Linked DNA regions of Caenorhabditis elegans. Changing the gene in region 2 together with the main gene of any one other region gives a genetic interaction. Each region holds a gene or a part of one and is shown on either strand. Other genes may lie near its edges.

Region 1 (3,434 bases), on a different chromosome or scaffold from region 2:
TTCCCAAATTTTAAAAGTTCTGAAAGTATATTAAAACAATTTTATATTTAAAATAAATGTTTTGAAAAAATTAATATTTCCTTCAACTTCTGAAAATTGTCAAATTTGTGATTTCTTTTGGAATTGTTTAAAATTTGTATTTTCACAAAATTTCAAAAATTACCCGATTTTTTAAAGACTTTGACATATATATTTTTGAAAAACCTGAAAGTTGGCCCCTTTTTCAACATTTTTTTCTCAACATATTTTTGTCGAAAACTAGAAATTCTGAAAAAAACGAAAAAATCATTTTTAGACCTGCTTTTGAATTTTTTGGAAAATGTTCTAAAAATTTTGAAAAAAATGAATATTTTCGGCAACTTCTGAAAACTCAAAAATGCTTTCTATCGCAAAAAAATTAAAAATTAAAATTTGGCCAAATTTTGAAATTTTTCTGATTTATTTGTTAATTTTTTTTTTGGAACGTAGACAGTTTATTGTCAACAATTAACAGCAAAAAATTAGTTGGTTGGTTGAGCGCGTGGCTTTGGAGTTGTTCCGCGGAATCCGTTTCTGAAGCGAGCGTTGACGTCTCTCAGATGACGGGTGCGGCCGGTTCCGGTGGTGCGTCTGCGGATGGACTTGGCTCCCCAGTTGTAGGTTCTCTTCTTGGCATCTTGATATCCGCAGGAAGCGCAACGCTTCTTCTGGATATGGAACGATGACTTTCCGCAACGCTTGCAAAGCGTGTGAGACTTAACGTGCTTCTTTCCGAAAGCTTGAGTACCCTTAGTCATCTCAAACTGGGTAATTTGTATTACTGTGAAAATTTGGAAATTCAGAAAAATATTTATATATCATTTAAGTTTTAATTTAGAAAAACCTTTTTTTTGTCAAATTTTGACCAAAAAATATATATTTTTAGTTCCTTTTTTCGCAAAATTCCAAAAATCAAAACTCAAAACATTACAAATGTTCAACTTTCCCAAACTGATCTTTTTCGAGTCTGAACTCTAAACCAATTGTGTGCTCAATTGTGCTCTGTGACCTTGTCATTGAGACCTCTAGTTTCCACCCAAAAAAAAACGCAAAATGTTTGTTCAATCGGAAAGTTGACATTTTGTCTTTCACATGAAGCTTCACTGGGAGTTACTAAAGCCAGTAGTTGACCTCCTAATTGATGTGACGCTTGAAATGGCAACAAATTGTTGACGACAAAGTGGCCCTAAAATGAGAGAAAAAGAAAAAAGGAAAAAGCTTTTAAAAAGTCTTGAAGGAGCAAGAAATGGGAGAAGCCATGTGTGAAATTACATGGTGCATCGATGAGGAAACATAATTTTGGGGAAAACAAAATATTTTTGAATTAGGAAGAGTTAGTTGATAAATTATTTTTTAAAAATTTTTATATGTAGGAAAATTAAAGTTTCTGGAAACATTTTTTTGCGTAAAAGTTCAATTTTTTGTAATCAAGTCTCGAGGTATTAAAGCTTGAAAAAAAGCCTATTAATTGCATTAAACGAGTTCAAAACGCTCTGTTTTCACAGTTTTCTACATATTATTGTCAGAAATTTCATCTATGCATATTTTTTGCAGAAAAAAAGTCGTCTGGATTCTCACGGTCAAGATTCAGGAGTAGAGATCATTAGCAACAAGCCGTATACAGATGGACCCGGTGGCAGTGGACAGTATACATTTAAGATCTATCATATTGGAAGTAGAATTCCCGGTTTGTTCACATTATTTGAATTGCAAAATAGTGGGGAAGGAAGTGTTTTTTTTCTTTTTTGATGAGAGAATATGAGATTTTTTTTGCTCTGAATTATTCACAATTTACTACTCTTTTCTTTTTAAGAGAAATTGGAATCTCACGCCGCTGCTCATATCAAATTACGGGGTGAAAATGAGAGGAAGGGGTCAGAAATTGCCGGTCTTTTGATTTTTTTTCTATTAAAAAAGAAAATATTAATTTTTTAAAATTGATTTTTTATAATTTACTGCCGATCAAAGCGCGTTCAAAATTCAATTCCATTCGAAAAAAATTATTTTTAGATAATGTTTTTAAAAATAATTGGAAAATGTTTTTGACAAATTTTCATAATCTTTATGGTAACCTAGACCAAATATTCCAAATTCCAAAAAAAAATTTAATTCCTATTATTTGTATTTCTTACTTGTATTTTCTCTTTTTTGTGTATTTGTATTTTATTTTTTTGTGCATTACATTCTCTTCACGATAATTAAATCGTATTCAAATAAATAAAATAAATAAATTCCAAAAAGAAGTATTTGTATAATAGGTTTTAGACAGTTTTGAAAAAAAATTTAAATGTGAGAAAAAAGTTTTAAAAAATTTATTGAATTGTTCTAAGTTTTATTTTTATTTTTTGAATTTACTAATAGGTAGTAAGTAAGATTTCTTAGTTTTTTTTTATTTATTAATTTTCCTATAATAATTGTTTTTCTCTGTTATAAAATATGAAACTTGGTATGCCAAATTTTCAGGAATTTTTCAGCAAAAAAAAGTATTAGAGCTCGGCGATAGTTCTGGTTTTCAAGTTTTCTATACCGAAAAATCTGTTAGAATCTTAAAATGTACTAATCTTATAACATAAAATTTTGCCGATGAATTTAACCAGAAAATTTTTTTTTAATTCATTTCCGCGGGAATTTAAAACTATTTGGTCCTTCCTATTTTTTTGCAAAATTGTAAAAAAATAGTTTTTTGTTGGATTTTTTCTGTAATTTTGTGCCAAAAAAGTTCCAAGAATTTCACAAAAACACAACTCCTAAAAAATCTTCCTCCAAAACTCAATATTTCATTTTTTCCAGCCTGGATCCGAACAGTGCTCCCAACAAACGCATTAGAAGCACATGAAGAATCATGGAATGCATATCCAGTGACAAAGACACGGTATTCAACCCCAATGATGGATAGGTTCAGTCTGGAAGTTGAGACACTCTATTTCGATGATCATGGTCAACAGGAGAATGTGTTCAATTTGAACGAAAAGGACAAATCTACTCGAATAATTGATTATATGGATTTTGTGAAAGATCCCATTTCATCACATGATTATTGTGCAGAAGAAGATCCAAAGCTCTATCGTTCCGAGACAACAAATCGAGGACCATTAAATGACGATTGGGTTGCAGAACATTTGAAGAAAGGTCTACCCATTATGTGTGCGTATAAATTATGTAAAGTCGAGTTTCGATACTGGGGTATGCAGACGAGAGCCGAGAGATGGATTCATGATTTGGCACTGAGGAATACCATGATGAGAGCACATCGACAGGCGTGGGCGTGGCAGGATGAATGGGTAAGTGAGAGAAATGGACATGGCGCATCGAAACATTTTTTTTCGGTTTTTTTTGGAGGAGAACCTGATAAGTGTTTTCCGTATTACACTCAAAGTAGCCCAAAAATTCCAAATTTCAAAATGAAATAAATTCCT
Region 2 (9,015 bases):
CGAAGTTAGACAATAGTTTCCTTTGTCGGCAACGGGTTGCGAGGCGTCCTGAAAAGAAGAAGTTCGCTGAACTCTGTAGTAGTGTTTTCATGCCAGAATTGGCACTCACATGTTCTTTTTGATTATGATTTTCGAGTAGAGTGGATGTGACTGGATATAGTTAGGATGATATGATTCCTCGAATATTGCAGAATCTCTTGATCTAAAAGTAAAAGAACAACTTCAGTTTTATAATTGTTTTTATTGACACATTTTATTTCGGATTTTGGTTAATTTTTACGCTTTTCTATGATCATTTAAGAACTGTTTCAGTAACTGGTAAACAATAATTTTCCTAAAATTATGCAAAAGAGGGTGATAATTGGGCCGCTCCTACACGTACAAGTTCTAAAGATAAACATTTTGAAGTGTTTCTTCTCTTTTAGAAATTAAAACGTTAGCTTTTTAATTTTTAGGTTTAGAACTAATTGTGATGGAATTAATGTGTGAAAAATTATTCAAGTTCTAGTTGAATTCGAGATTTTGAAAGATCAACATTTTTGAACTAATAGTAAGTGTGACTGTATCATATTTATCAACTTAAATTTCAGGTTTTATTTTAATGTAAAGTTTTTAAACAATAAAAAAACTCTATTGGCTGTTTTTATCTAGCAAGTTTGTTTACTAATTATTAAAATTTGTTTCGATACTTGCCTAGTCATACAATCTGGATCATCGAAGGTAAAATGAAGATATTGAATTTTAGACGTTGTATTATAATACTGGTGAGTTTGATCTGCAAATGAAACTTTAAAGGTTACATAGCACAACATTTATAAGTGTCATGTTAGTCTGGACACTTGACGGAGGCAAATCTGTAAGCTAACTTATGTGATTTGATGTTCTGCAACCCATTACACCAAACAAAAATGTTACAGGACAAAAACACACAACACGGAAACATGATTACCACAATGGACTTTTAAATGACATCTGATAACGGCGGAGAGACTACTATGAGTAATAGTAGTGATGCTTCTCATCATCTATAAATTCATTGAAATCGTTGCCCTGAACTTAAATGTCAGTAGCGAACTGAAAACGAACCTAAACAAGAAGCTTTGTTAGAGGGACGGTCGTACGAAGGCCAAGCTGGTGAACCGAGGGCAGAGTCGAGAGATTGGTTGGCAACACCGCTGACGGCACGAGCTAATTTATCTTGTCGAACATACCCGTTTCCGATTGGTTCGTTGAGCACTTTGTGGATGTACACTAAAAACGGTCAAAATTCGGGTTTGCTCATGCTATTGTTGTTTGATGGAATACGTTGAGAGGTTTCCGGTGTAATAATGTGATTTTTCAGCATATTGTCATTGCAGTAGAGATGATTCGGATCATTGGGTGGTTCTACAGAAAAATTGGACTCATAGTCGTCGCAAATTGTGTGTTGTGGCTGCAAAAACAGTGCTTTATGGATTCCGAATTCATAGGTTAAATTCTTTTAAAATTTAAATACGTTATGTACGAAATTACGTTTTGATCTACCTCTGATGGAAGATTCACTGGAGCTGAAAGAGGGCGATGTTTTCTCTTTTTCTGGAATGACTCCATAGGAGAAACTGGACCTGATGCCGTGGATCTTTCGGAGAAAAATTGATCCTGGAAAATATCCTCAAAAATGTTGTCACAGATGTATGACCTTACATTAAATTCTTGTGATCCCTCAATAGTCTCATTTGTCATTGTTAACATCCAATCCAAATAATCTACGATTGTTTTAAAAGATGGTCGTTCTTCCAATTTTTCTCTCCAGCAGCTGCACATCAAATGGTAGACTTCTTGGGGACATAAATGTGGTGGCTCCATTCTGCAAAAACATGTCAGACAGGTGAGATTTGCATGTTTTTCTCAATATTTTCACCTGTATCCTTCTTTGAGGTTAGCATAGAGTTCAGGCATGGCAATCGTTGGATAGGGAGTTCCACCAAGTGTCATGATTTCCCAAAGGAGAACTCCATATGACCATCTACAAAAGTATCAATGAGTCATTATAGTATTAATTTTGGTACACAACCACTGTCGTGCCCTAAAATTGCCCCAAAAAATGTAAATGGAAAACTGAAATAAAAGCGTGCCAAGAAAAATGGTGAATGCATTGTTCACAGAGTGATAGTTTTGGAAGCAATAGTATTTTTTTTTTTTGATATTCAAATTTGAATAATATATTTTTTGTTAAATTAAATTGTCGTTCAATAGTTTTTTATAACTATTTTTCCACAGGCGGGAAACAACTTCAATTCAGACATATCACAAATATATTTATGTTTAATGTTTTTCCCTAAATTAAAATCCTAAAACGTTGTATCCTAAAAACCCAAAATAAGTAAAATAAATATACAGCTATCCCGATTCAGATGCTCAGGTTGACTCAGGATGATTAACTTGTGTGAAAAGACAAATAAGACATATGTGATTATATTGAAAAATCAATTTTTTTCAAACGTGAACCTGGAAAGGACCTCCACGAAACTTTTCTACCACAGAAAACCATTACTCACACATCACTTTCCACGGTGTATACATTTGAGTCCAACGCTTCTAAAGCCATCCATTTAATGGGAAGTCTGCCGTTTCCACGTTTTCTGGAAGTAATATATCATCAGTAATATATCATTAGGAATAATGTTACAACCTATAATAATCGTTACAGTGCACATCTCTCGATAGTCCAAAATCCGATATTTTCAGAACGTGTCCATCACCGACGAGAACATTTCTTGCTGCCAAATCACGATGTATGATCTTCTTTGATGCCAAGAAGTTCATTCCTTGAGCCACTTGCCAAGCAAATTGTACAAGATGGCGTTGTGTCAAATTTGGTATGAGCTCCTAAAAATGAAAATTTCAGCAAAATTACTCTGGTAAATTTAAAACTGACTAAGACAGGTTTACTGATAATGAGCAATCAGGAAAACGCTTTTCTACAAGATTTTCAAAGTTTGATGAGTATTTCAAATTTTGTCAGTGGAAAAAATCATATTTTATTCAAAACATAAGCCACTCACAATGTCATCCTTATCAGATGCTTTTCGTGGTTCCAAATAATCCGTCAATTCTTGGCTGGACTTTTTTGCCTTCTCTTCCTTAGGTCTATGTGCTCTCAAGAAATCGCGCAAATTCCCATGCTTGCACAGCTCAACAACGACATAAAGCGGACCAGCGCCTGTACAGCATCCAATCAATCGCAACACGTTCTCATGTTCTCCTATAACTTTGAATGTTTCCATTTCACTGACCAAGTCAATGAGCTCTTTTTCGTGAGCTGACATTTTCAATTTTTTGACAGCAACTGCGATTTCCTGAAACGCAATTAAAATTTCAGATTTTCTTGTTTTTTTGTTTTCCCAAAATTACATTGTTTTCTGTTTCTTTGTATGTTGCTTTCCAAACTTCTCCAAATGCTCCCTCGCCAAGCATGTGAACCAAACTCAATCTAAACGTTGAAATTTAATGTTTAAATTGAATTCTTGTCTGGCTGAATGTATTAAAGATTTGACCCACTTTGATCTTTCAACTTCCCAAACTGGATCCGAATCAACCTCGTATTCCGAAAGAACAGTGTTTTCTGAATTCATACGTTTTCTTTGTTTTCTCGCTGCTTCTTTCTTTGTAATTGGAGTCTCTATTATTTGAATTTGATAAGGTGATGGCTCATCATCCGAATTCTCATTATCTTCATTCATTGGCCTTTTGCTAACTACGACTCTTTTTTTTCTTGCCACTAATCCAACAGTATCATCCATGAATCCTTTTTTGTGTAGTGTTTGTTTGCACACCATAAACAAAATTCCAAATAATGTTGCAGCAAGCAGTAAGAAAAGCAGAATTGTTGTAAATATATAATCGGATGTTGTCCATCTATCTATCTTCGGTTCGTCACCAGTGAGCAAATGTATGGCCATAAACTCATTCACCGTTAAAGTGGCATTCGCCATCGACTGTAAAACTCTTAATTTGTTCAACTAGAAGGTTCAATCAATTTCTTACCATCCCCAGTGAGTTTCCACTGAGACAAGCATATATTCCCTGATCATCCAGCGACACATTGAAAATAGTAAGCGTCGATTCATCACCAACGTGATGGACGTGCGCTTTCTGAAACGACACTTTTTGATAGATGAGAACATGTTTCATAACATACATCAAAAGTGTCCATCTCTGTGTAATTGAACATATACTCTTCAGCTGAATTGTTGTAGTAGCTATACGACCCATTGATTTTGTTGATGCGTACCCAAATAATATGAGGCAATAAGTCAGAGACAACTTTGCAGTGGAATGTGGCAGTGTCATTAATATTTACCTAAATATAAAACATTGAAACTATAGATGCCGTGAGGCAAAATCTTACTGATTGATTAGCCAAAATATTCGGAACGATAATGGGCGGTCTTCTCATTCTGTTGACTATGATCACATGGAAATACTTTTTTGCACTTCCAACTTTGTTCAATGCTTCACAATGAAACTCCCCAGAATCTGCTACGACAGCATCTTCCACTTCTAAAGACCATCTATTGAACTTGAATTCGTATCCGCCGGACCGAGCACTACTTTTCTTCAACATTTTGCCGTTTTTGTACCAGATAATCTGTGATCAAATGCATTGATTGAAAATCCAATGTTTCTTTACGTGAAAAATTTCAAGTTTTTCATGAATCGTACCTGTGGCTCAGGGTATCCTTTTGCGCGACAATTAAGTTTCAATGTTCGTCCTGCTGGTAGAGCATGCGTTTCATTAAACAATACAATGTTGTCGTTTGACTTGAAATATGGTGGCTCTTCCGCAGTAATATTCAGCTCAGTGAGCCCCGCATCTGGAGCAACCGGTTGTGAAACACTATAGTCTTCTTCTTCGTCTTCTTTGTTTTCTTTTTCATCAGCATTGATAAATTCGGTTCCTAAAAACAAGTTTACTGAGATATATAAGAAGAAAATGAAGCATTTAAAATAATTCAACCACTGATGTAGCCTACCCAAAGCATGATTGATCTGTCTTAATCTCAGAATGTGCCTGGCTCGAACAATTTTCTGTTCATTATTCATCTTCTCCCATCCGCCCAATTGGCTTTTCACTCTCCTCATTTCCGCAGGAGGTAGCAATTTTGGCAATAAATGACTAATATCGAATACTCGATGCTCAGTGAGCCAATCGAACAGTTTAAGTGGATCTGAAATAACTTACTGGATTCGGATGGACTTTCTTCAGAGTCATGCACGGGCACAATCACATCATCTTTTTTCAAAACAACACGCTTTACTAAAGGATCGTCCTCGGGTTTCCCAGGTAAACCAAAATCCGAAACAGGAGTAGTGTCAAATTCTTTGCAGTGATCACCAAAGCAAGGAATCATTGGCAACGGTTTTCGTGCTCTATTTATCATGCGAGATGCGTACTTTGAGCAGACTTCTCCTGTTACCGCTGCATAGTTCACATCAGATCGTTTTGCTTCTTTGTTGTATTTCCATAAACAAACACATTCCATCGGAATGTTCAAATGATGAATATCGGGAAACAGGAAGTAATCACAAAAGTCTGAAAACAAAGCACACCATGCATGGAAGAAATTATGCTTGCACTGCAAAGAATCGAGCAATAGAGATACTTACCAATAACTTCAACTGTAAAATTTCGTGATATTTGTCCATATGCGTTGTGTACGCGGCAAGACCAAAGACCCTGCAAAAATATTAGTTTTTAAACGTTTTTAAACGTTTTTAAATAAACGTTTTTTTTTAAGTTGACAGAGTCAAAAACTGCTGAAAAAAGTTCTCAGTTTGTTGGTATTTTTGAATTAATATATATTTTTGATGATGCTTAAAACTCATGGTAGTCGGTTATAGTTTTTTTTCCTATTTTCTTTCATATTATTCTTGCAGAACTAAACACGCGCAAGAGATATCACACAAACTTTAGCATCTACAAGATATTTTTTATTGGTTAAATGTTTTTTTTTAATAATTCCAAACATTTTTCAAACATTAAATCATTTTAATTATCATGTTGTATTGTTTCTTTACGGTATTTTAGGTAACTCCAGTATTTTAGGTTAAAAACAAGAAAAACCAAATTTGAAACGAGACATCGAAATACAGTTTCATAGTGTATGTTAGTCTTGAATTCCTATCAGTCTTTGCACTCTAAATTGTCAATTAAAAAAATAGAAATGCATGCAATTCTAATAGGAGAAATGCGATACTTGGTGTTCTAACCACATTGTTCAACAAAAAAAAAACCACAAAAATAATAAAAAATCATATACCTGATCTGAAACATCAATATTCTTCAAGTGAAGCATCATCCTGTTATTATCTTTCCGAATTTTGTCTTTATCTATTTGATCATTTTTGAGTAACTTGTCATTACGATACCATTCGACAAAGGCAGAAATCTTTGACGCCGCGGTTTGACAGTCAAATTTTATCTAAAACTGTGTACATCTATTGCTGTTAAATATTTGTTCCACCAAACCTCATCTCCAAGAAATACTTCGTATCTTTCGTTTGCTACATGCTTGAAACGGGGAATATTTTCTGTAAAATCGAATAATATGAAAATAAATTAGATTTTGTGACAACTCTCTTACCTCTGTAATGACTGGTCAATCCTTGAAGAGAACAAGAAACTGTAGAAAGTAAGCCCACACCGAGGCAGGATGCAAGGAAATAACTCATGATGATATGTATCAGGCAAACATTCGAATTTCTGCAATCTTTTGTATCTACTATTTATCTACTAATAATCAAAATATTAAAACACTCAGAAGGAGAAGCTGTGAAACTTTTGAAATTGAATACATGTGAGAGAGGTGAATCAGACCGGTACAAAGATTTATTTGTTGGGTTCTTACTGGTACCTCTGCGCGAGCCATGGGTTATATATTACTGGCTCCATACCCCACCACCATATGTAACAAATTGGCGACACCCGCGCAACGTTTTCAAAAGTTCCGACCCTCTGGGTCATAAGGTCTAATGATCTCTGGGAACAATCAAGAAACTAAAGCAAATCATAATTAGAACCGTCTAAATTTACGCATATGTTGCTCATAGAAAAAAAAAACGAGCAGCGAGCGGAGGGCGATAATAAAAAGAGTAAAAAGTGAACGAGCGTCAAATTGAGACGACGAAAGACGTCCAGATGTTAAGATGTTGTGGATTCGTTGTCTTCGCCGACAAGGTGGAATGACACAATGCCGTTTCGATTGATATCGAAGCAAAACCTTGAATAAGAAGTCACATCTGGAGGTGTTTCTTCCGGATGCAGTGCATATGTTACGGAAACAAAAACCTTTCAACATTTCCGGACACAATGTAACTTTTTATTGCTAGTCTTGCAGTATGATATAGCGAATAAAGTGGGTCTATCTTTTCAATGATCACGGCTATGTTATAGAGTTATGTAATTTTTTTAGAGCAATTTGAGGTTTTATAAAAACTCGTTATGTATAATAAAAACAAATTTTAGCAGCTGATGTAAGCGTAATAACGCTATGGTAACTTTTCAAAACCAACGTCATACATTGCATATAAAATAGTTTAAATTAGATCAAATTTGAGATTATAAGGCTAGTTTTCAAAATAATGAGATACTTCTTTAGTGAAACATTCTATCTAAATATTCCTAAAAAAATAAAAAGAAAATGTTCATAAAAAACTTAGGTTGTGATTAATGATTAGAACATTTAGTTATAAACCAGCTTTTTGATTATTGAAGTGTAATTTAATCTGTGCGATTTCTAGGCACTTTTTTGTAGAAGTTATGTATTATAAAATTGTAATTTCAAAACTTAATAGTTGCACAACAGGGTGTGACCAACATTCCAAGAGATGCTTATCGCGGATACGAGATGGTTAGTTGCGAGTCTAATTAATTCAAATGTCACATCATTTACTCAATTTTAACAGGTAGGTGAATGGATTTCTTGTTTCAATTTTGTCATTAAACCAGTTTGTTGCCCCCAAGAATTCCATTAGAAAAGAGTGATAAGAAAAAGAGAAGGGGGCATTACAATCATGAGACGGTAACCGACAACATAGGCGTCGGTTTTTTGTTGCTGTGGGTCTTATTTTTTGGAGTATTTGGTATGTGTCTACAGGCTAATCAATATAGAAAAATGCAATCAGAAAGTGAGAGAAAATCAAGGGAATTAGAAAAAGAAGGAGAGATAAACGAGAATGGACAATGATGAGAAAAGAGATGCGTTAAAAAGAAAAGGGGTTAGTGATTGGGCATTGCGCATAAGGCAGTCAGTCGCCAAAAATGATAGAACACGGGATAATTGTAGGCGACATATTTAGATGCAAAAGCTAATTCAATTTCGGTTTTTCTTTATTTACGCGCACCTGTTTGTGTTGCATTCCTTTATAAATCTCGAACGCGAAAAGTTATTGTAAATGAGTCATTTTGACAGTGTGCAGGTGAACAACATGTGGTCAATATGAAAATAGATATCAGAATGCAATTAAATGCGAAAGGTCGAAGAAGTAAGCGGGTCTACCGAGAATTGGCTGCGTATCATATATCACGCGCAGTGGAACGGCACCACCTCATTCAATGTCACGAGGAGGACAAAACAAGTAACAAATGATTTAACGCCGTAAATCTCTTCTATTTATTAAAGCAATCTAAAATTGAATGAAAACAATGAAATGGATACAATAAAGCTTACAATTATCATTAAACGATATGTGTGGCAACTGTTAATTCAGGCAGTCAAGCCACAATTTTCCGTCGTCCCGTAATGTACCAGCCATATCAACTTGGAAGAACAGAACTCCTAAATACAGAATTGCAACACGAATGTTTAATAAACCAAATACCTTGACCAATAAGATTGAACTGCCGTGTATATCCATGATGAAATTTGCATCCTTTTCGAATAGCCACATGAACTAGCCATTTACCATGACCACACCCAATCTAAAACGGTATCAAGCATAATTTGTTTATAATAGTGTATGTGCTAAAAAACG
Region 3 (4,790 bases), on a different chromosome or scaffold from region 2:
AGTGACTTTGGAGTTGGATGTCGAGGTGACAATTCCGGATCGTGATGAGAAGAAGAAATTGAAGTTGGAGATCGATCGCACCTTGTCTGTCTTGATCTTGTCTATCCGAAATCATTGATTGAGAATCTGCCTTCTCTACCTTGTTCTTGAAAATGTTGCTGAGAAACTTCTTGAAAATAATTTATATTATAGTCACAACAAGCATTGTCATTCATCGATGAATAGATATCTAGAAAAAGCCCAGATTTTTGTTCGAAGATCTGCAATTGTGTTGTGGAGACTTCAATGCTGCCAATTCAGTTACTTCCAACAATGAGCTGATCCCTTGGATCTTCAAACATGTATTCCTCAACTCTAACAACCACGGCGACGTACAACTTTTTGACCTCTTCCCATCTATTTCTACTAAACAAGGTGTTTTAGGATCGAGACCAGAAACTTTTATTGGAATACAGATTATGTTAAACGCGTTTTCAAAAACACAGCAGCCTATACACAAACGCAGACCTTCAAACTTTTATTCATAAAAACGAAACAAGTTCATTCCAAATAAATCTTGAATCCACGAGCCACATAATCTCCGACATCAAAGATGAGAACGACACGATCATCACTGAAAATTATTTTGAGGTTGTGAAAGAAACTTCCGAGTGCCCGAACACTCATCTGATAGCGTCCGACATTAAACGGGTTCCACAACTTAGATCGTGTAACCAGGCAGATGCGGCGCCGCAGCCTTTTTTTATAAAGACAAGAGCAAGTTCCATATAAGAAACTAATAAAATTAGCTTATAAATTGGAAACTAAAACTTACAATTTTGGAATCTCCGCAACCATCAAGCTATCATAATAATTCGATTTGATACGACGCATACCAATCTTTTCATCATCATTCACGAATCCAAAATACAGTTGTCCATTTGCCACATTGTCTCCGAGAACTTTCTTCTTCCGATGCAACATTGCCCCAAGAGCTTTGGCAAGATTCGTGTTGAGTGGGAAGCTCATTTTTACGTAGCTACTGCAAAAAGTGGGATATTAGAAAATAGTTGAAAATGATAAATATTTTAAAACTCACTGAACAATGCCGTACACCTCGACCGGCTCCACGAGCACCATCATGATTGCAACGGAATTTTCGGCGACAGGAGTCAATGAGTTCAACATTCTATGGTTGAAGGAAACTGTTCCAGAAGACAGAGAACAGTTAGTTTCAGATGAAGAATCGGATGTTCTGGAAATTCTTATTTATGTTCTCTGTCGGATGCTTCTCGCTCACTCTTTGATCGGATTTGAGCTTGCAGAAGAAGCCGGCTTCACATCTATTCCAAGATCTTTCATACCCAGTGCCTTTGCTCTTTGCTTTCGACAAATATCCTTCTCATAGTACTTCTTACTCTCCTGACGTGATGATCCCTTCCAGTAGCATTGCTGAGAACTGCATCCGTATGTTCCATCCGCGTTCTTCACAATGTCGAAACATGCGGTACAGAGGTAGTGACCACATCTCGAACCACATCATTTTTATTATTACTTGGGTCATGTTTAACGGGTTACTCACCTTCCAATCGTGCTCAGCAAGTTCGATGGGAACTCCTTCTTGCAAGGCCCATCACACTTGACAACCACTGGAGATGGGGCGCCTCCTGAAATTTTTATCATGTAATCGGAAAGCGAAGCCAGGTGAAGTAAGGTGTCGGTGGCAACGTTATGAAGGGTTCTAAGCAGCTGACTTATTCCGATTTAGGCTTCCAAAAACTAACCAAATGAAGATCTTGAAGAAATGGCAGAGCTTTTCGAAACAGTTTCCATGACATTTCTATAGTGTTCCACATCATCCATCTCCACATCCCAACTAATAGAATAGGAGTAAGTGGTTCTGAAATCCCATAAAAAGTCAATTTGAGTGCTAGAGATTCAAACGAACTGGAAAGTCGGAGCATCGTGGGCAACTCGAAGCTCTGAGGTCTTTGGAGACTCGCACAAATCACAGATGTACGAAGGGATCAGAGGATTTGTGCTGTAGTTTCTCAGAGACTTTGCAGATTTCTCTGTTTCTGGATTTGGCTGAAAATTATGGAGATTGAATAGTCTTTCCGGAAGAGGAGCTTACTGAAAGGGGCGCCCAGTTTCGCAAGCTAAGATTGTCTTCAGAGGACGACTGGAAACTATCATCAGATGTTGGGGGTGTGCTAGCCTGAAAATATCATTTTAGTGACCCGGCAGATGCCGGGCAACGGAATTCCACTCAATAACCCAAACCGGGTCGGCTAAAAACGAGAAACCCTGGAAACGTCGGGAGGCAATATACAAACATACCTCTTCAAATGGCGATGCCCAATTCCGTAGGCTAAGATGATCGAGTGAGGCGAGCATAGTCGGTTTCTGGTTTTCAGTCGATTCGAATTCAGTCATCGTTTACCGCGCTTCCTTGTCTTTATTTTGATATCGAGAACGATGAATATTTGAAAAATGTGAAATAAATCCAAAAGTCGAGTTGTTGGCAACATCTTGTTATTTTGTTCTGATTGCAAAAAGTTCATGTGAAAATAGAATGGGTCACGCAGAACATATTGAACTATAATCAAATTAACATTTGAACAAAAGAAAAACGAAAATGAAACATGTGAAACACGTGAAACAATTCCAATGTAAGAAGTTTTCAAGGAAGGAGACAAAGAATTCAATTGCGCAAGTCTCTGATAGTGAGGTTATATTTTCAGAGTTTTTCCTATCAGAATTGCGGGCGACAGAACATGTATGCTAGTTGCTGTGCGGCAACGGGTGCTGCCGGAGTTGCCGAACGGAAACACTTTTGGCAACCGACAACTATGTTGTCAAAACATGTTCATGTTTTAGAGTGTTTTTCAAGGAAATATGAAGCCATTTTTTCATTTACGGTTATATGGTTGCTACTTTCATATTAGCAGGTTACACACGAATTGCTAGTTGTCCACCTATGACAGACTAAACGTGAATCACGCAAATCACTGCAACTTTTTTCGAACGAGGGCTGAGAAAAAATGCGAAAAATCGGTGTTTGCACACAATACACCGCATTTTACGACATTTTCTACTTGCTTTGTTTTCTTGTGTTTTCACCAATTTTTTCCGTGTTTTATTATTAAAACTGATAAATACATATTTTTTGTTAATGCGAAAATAATTTCCAAGTGAAAAAATTGTGAATTCAGCCGGCAAGTAGCGGTGAAAGTGGTCAATGTAATATGATGGATTACGGGAATACAAAACCCAAACTTTTCCCCAAACATGATACATAGATGTTTAGATGCTAAAAGTACCTGATTTTCATAACGAGACAGCTGAAAAAGTTTTGAGATTTTCAAAATTCAACTTTTTTGGTAAAAAAGTCGAGATTTTGGCACAAAATGTTGAATTTTGAAAATCTAAAAACTTTTTTAGCTGTCTCGTTATGAAAATCAGGTACTTTCAGCATCTTAAAAGCATATATATCATGTTTCAGAAAAAGTTTGGGTTTTGTATAGCCGTAATCCATCATATTACATTGCCCACTTTCACTGCTACTTGCCGACTGAATTCACAATTTTTTCACTTGGAAATTGTTGCCTCGTCCCTTTTTGCCTCGTCCCTCGTTCGAAAAAAGTTGCAGTGCGCGCAAAGCTTGTAGGTAGGCAAGCAAGTATTTAGTCAGGTAGGCACCGGTAGGTAGGCATAAGACACGCACGCGGTTGCTTTCCCTTCGTGCGTATTAAGTTTGTCAGAAAATCCGGAGTCAGTTACGTCGATGTCACATTTTCTACCGAACAAAAATCAATCTCGAATGTGGTGAAGAGGAGGTAATTTATAAATCATTCGCTGATCCGTTATATTGCTTGTACAATAAAATTCTCAAGCAGTTCAGAGTAACATCTGTAAGTTGTAATACTGAAATATCGGCTATATTACAGATTTCAGGAAATTGCTTATGGCAGTAATATAGCTGCATCTCTGGCCGCAATGACAAATCAAAATGATTTATCTTGCCTGAGAAATAGAGAAACAATGGCTTGGTACAGATAAAGTGAGTATCTTGGAAAATGCAGCTTCTGAAGAATCAAACTAAATTGGCTTTGGATTGCTGGTAGACGGAGAATGGAAACTAATCAAATTGGATTCTTTTTTCCACTTGTGACTGGGACTGGAGATCCGTTGATCAATGTGAACAAGTATGAATTGTGGCCCGCATTCTTTGAGAAAGCATTCGTGAAATTAAGAGGAAGGCTCAAAGATTTAGATGCATATGGTTTTGTTATTAGAGACCCAATGAGAATGATCACAGGTTGGTAACTTTTATTATGATATTTGTTTGGTCAATTTTGCCTCAAATTACAGACCTGAAACGCGAATGCAGTCCGCGAAAGCCATGCCTAGATTTCGAAGATTTTTTATACGCAGAAATATACTTTTCAGTGCCCCGGATGGTTCAACTAACAATCAATTTGTAATCAATTTCCACATCTCATCGGTACCGAATTTGTCCACCTTGTATTGTTTGACAAATGATCCTCAAATTTTGAAATCAAAAAAAAAAAAACAATAAAAAAACATCGATCCTAACGCACTTTTTATTGGATAAAAAATCCATTGTCATCATAAATCCCCCAATTGGAATGAGATCAGATAGATTGAGATCGATAGAGGATGTGGAAGAGAAAAGAGTAAAAGAAACAGAGTGATCTGGTTTTAAAAAAAATGGATGGAGCAAAGAGATAATAATTGAAATTTCCCAGAAAATGCAGCACAAATCATCATCGTCCGTACATACCACC

What was found.
Region 1: changes in egl-15 (region 2) and rpl-37.2 together harm fitness more than expected from each alone (negative genetic interaction), as found in Caenorhabditis elegans (one large-scale study listed by BioGRID).
Region 3: changes in egl-15 (region 2) and F37A8.2 together harm fitness more than expected from each alone (negative genetic interaction), as found in Caenorhabditis elegans (one large-scale study listed by BioGRID).

What each region holds. Positions count from the first base shown.
Region 1 is NC_003281.10:3,525,984-3,529,417, reverse strand, and holds rpl-37.2 (Large ribosomal subunit protein eL37), read right to left. Parts: upstream 777-3,434; coding exon 501-776; downstream 1-500. Other genes in the region: pitp-1 (DDHD domain-containing protein), read left to right, coding at 1,573-1,705, 2,809-3,299. UniProt on the Caenorhabditis elegans protein: Binds to the 23S rRNA.
Region 2 is NC_003284.9:11,014,140-11,023,154, reverse strand, and holds the start of egl-15 (receptor protein-tyrosine kinase), read right to left. Parts: upstream 6,756-9,015; 5' UTR 6,715-6,755; coding exon 6,627-6,714; intron 6,574-6,626; coding exon 6,512-6,573; intron 6,465-6,511; coding exon 6,303-6,464; intron 5,720-6,302; coding exon 5,650-5,719; intron 5,576-5,649; coding exon 5,225-5,575; intron 5,211-5,224; coding exon of another isoform or gene 5,016-5,210; intron 4,941-5,015; coding exon 4,705-4,940; intron 4,631-4,704; coding exon 4,391-4,630; intron 4,343-4,390; coding exon 4,181-4,342; intron 4,135-4,180; coding exon 4,027-4,134; intron 3,978-4,026; coding exon 3,541-3,977; intron 3,473-3,540; coding exon 3,394-3,472; intron 3,339-3,393; coding exon 3,045-3,338; intron 2,869-3,044; coding exon 2,672-2,868; intron 2,622-2,671; coding exon 2,538-2,621; intron 2,006-2,537; coding exon 1,901-2,005; intron 1,847-1,900; coding exon 1,684-1,846; intron 1,639-1,683; coding exon 1,525-1,638; intron 1,433-1,524; coding exon 1,306-1,432; coding exon of another isoform or gene 1,262-1,305; and 12 more. Other genes in the region: F58A3.3 (RHDF1), read right to left, coding at 8,743-8,819, 8,863-8,962. UniProt on the Caenorhabditis elegans protein: Receptor tyrosine kinase required for larval development. May phosphorylate adapter protein soc-1 which in turn may result in the recruitment and/or activation of phosphatase ptp-2.
Region 3 is NC_003281.10:3,929,011-3,933,800, forward strand, and holds F37A8.2 (RING-type domain-containing protein), read right to left. Parts: upstream 2,514-4,790; 5' UTR 2,416-2,513; coding exon 2,320-2,415; intron 2,198-2,319; coding exon 2,114-2,197; intron 2,068-2,113; coding exon 1,928-2,067; intron 1,880-1,927; coding exon 1,764-1,879; intron 1,647-1,763; coding exon 1,562-1,646; intron 1,508-1,561; coding exon 1,280-1,507; intron 1,235-1,279; coding exon 1,079-1,234; intron 1,022-1,078; coding exon 815-1,021; intron 614-814; coding exon 541-613; 3' UTR 501-540; downstream 1-500. Other genes in the region: F37A8.1 (mRNA 5'-triphosphatase), read left to right, coding at 1-118; nlp-10 (Neuropeptide-Like Protein), read right to left, coding at 4,770-4,790.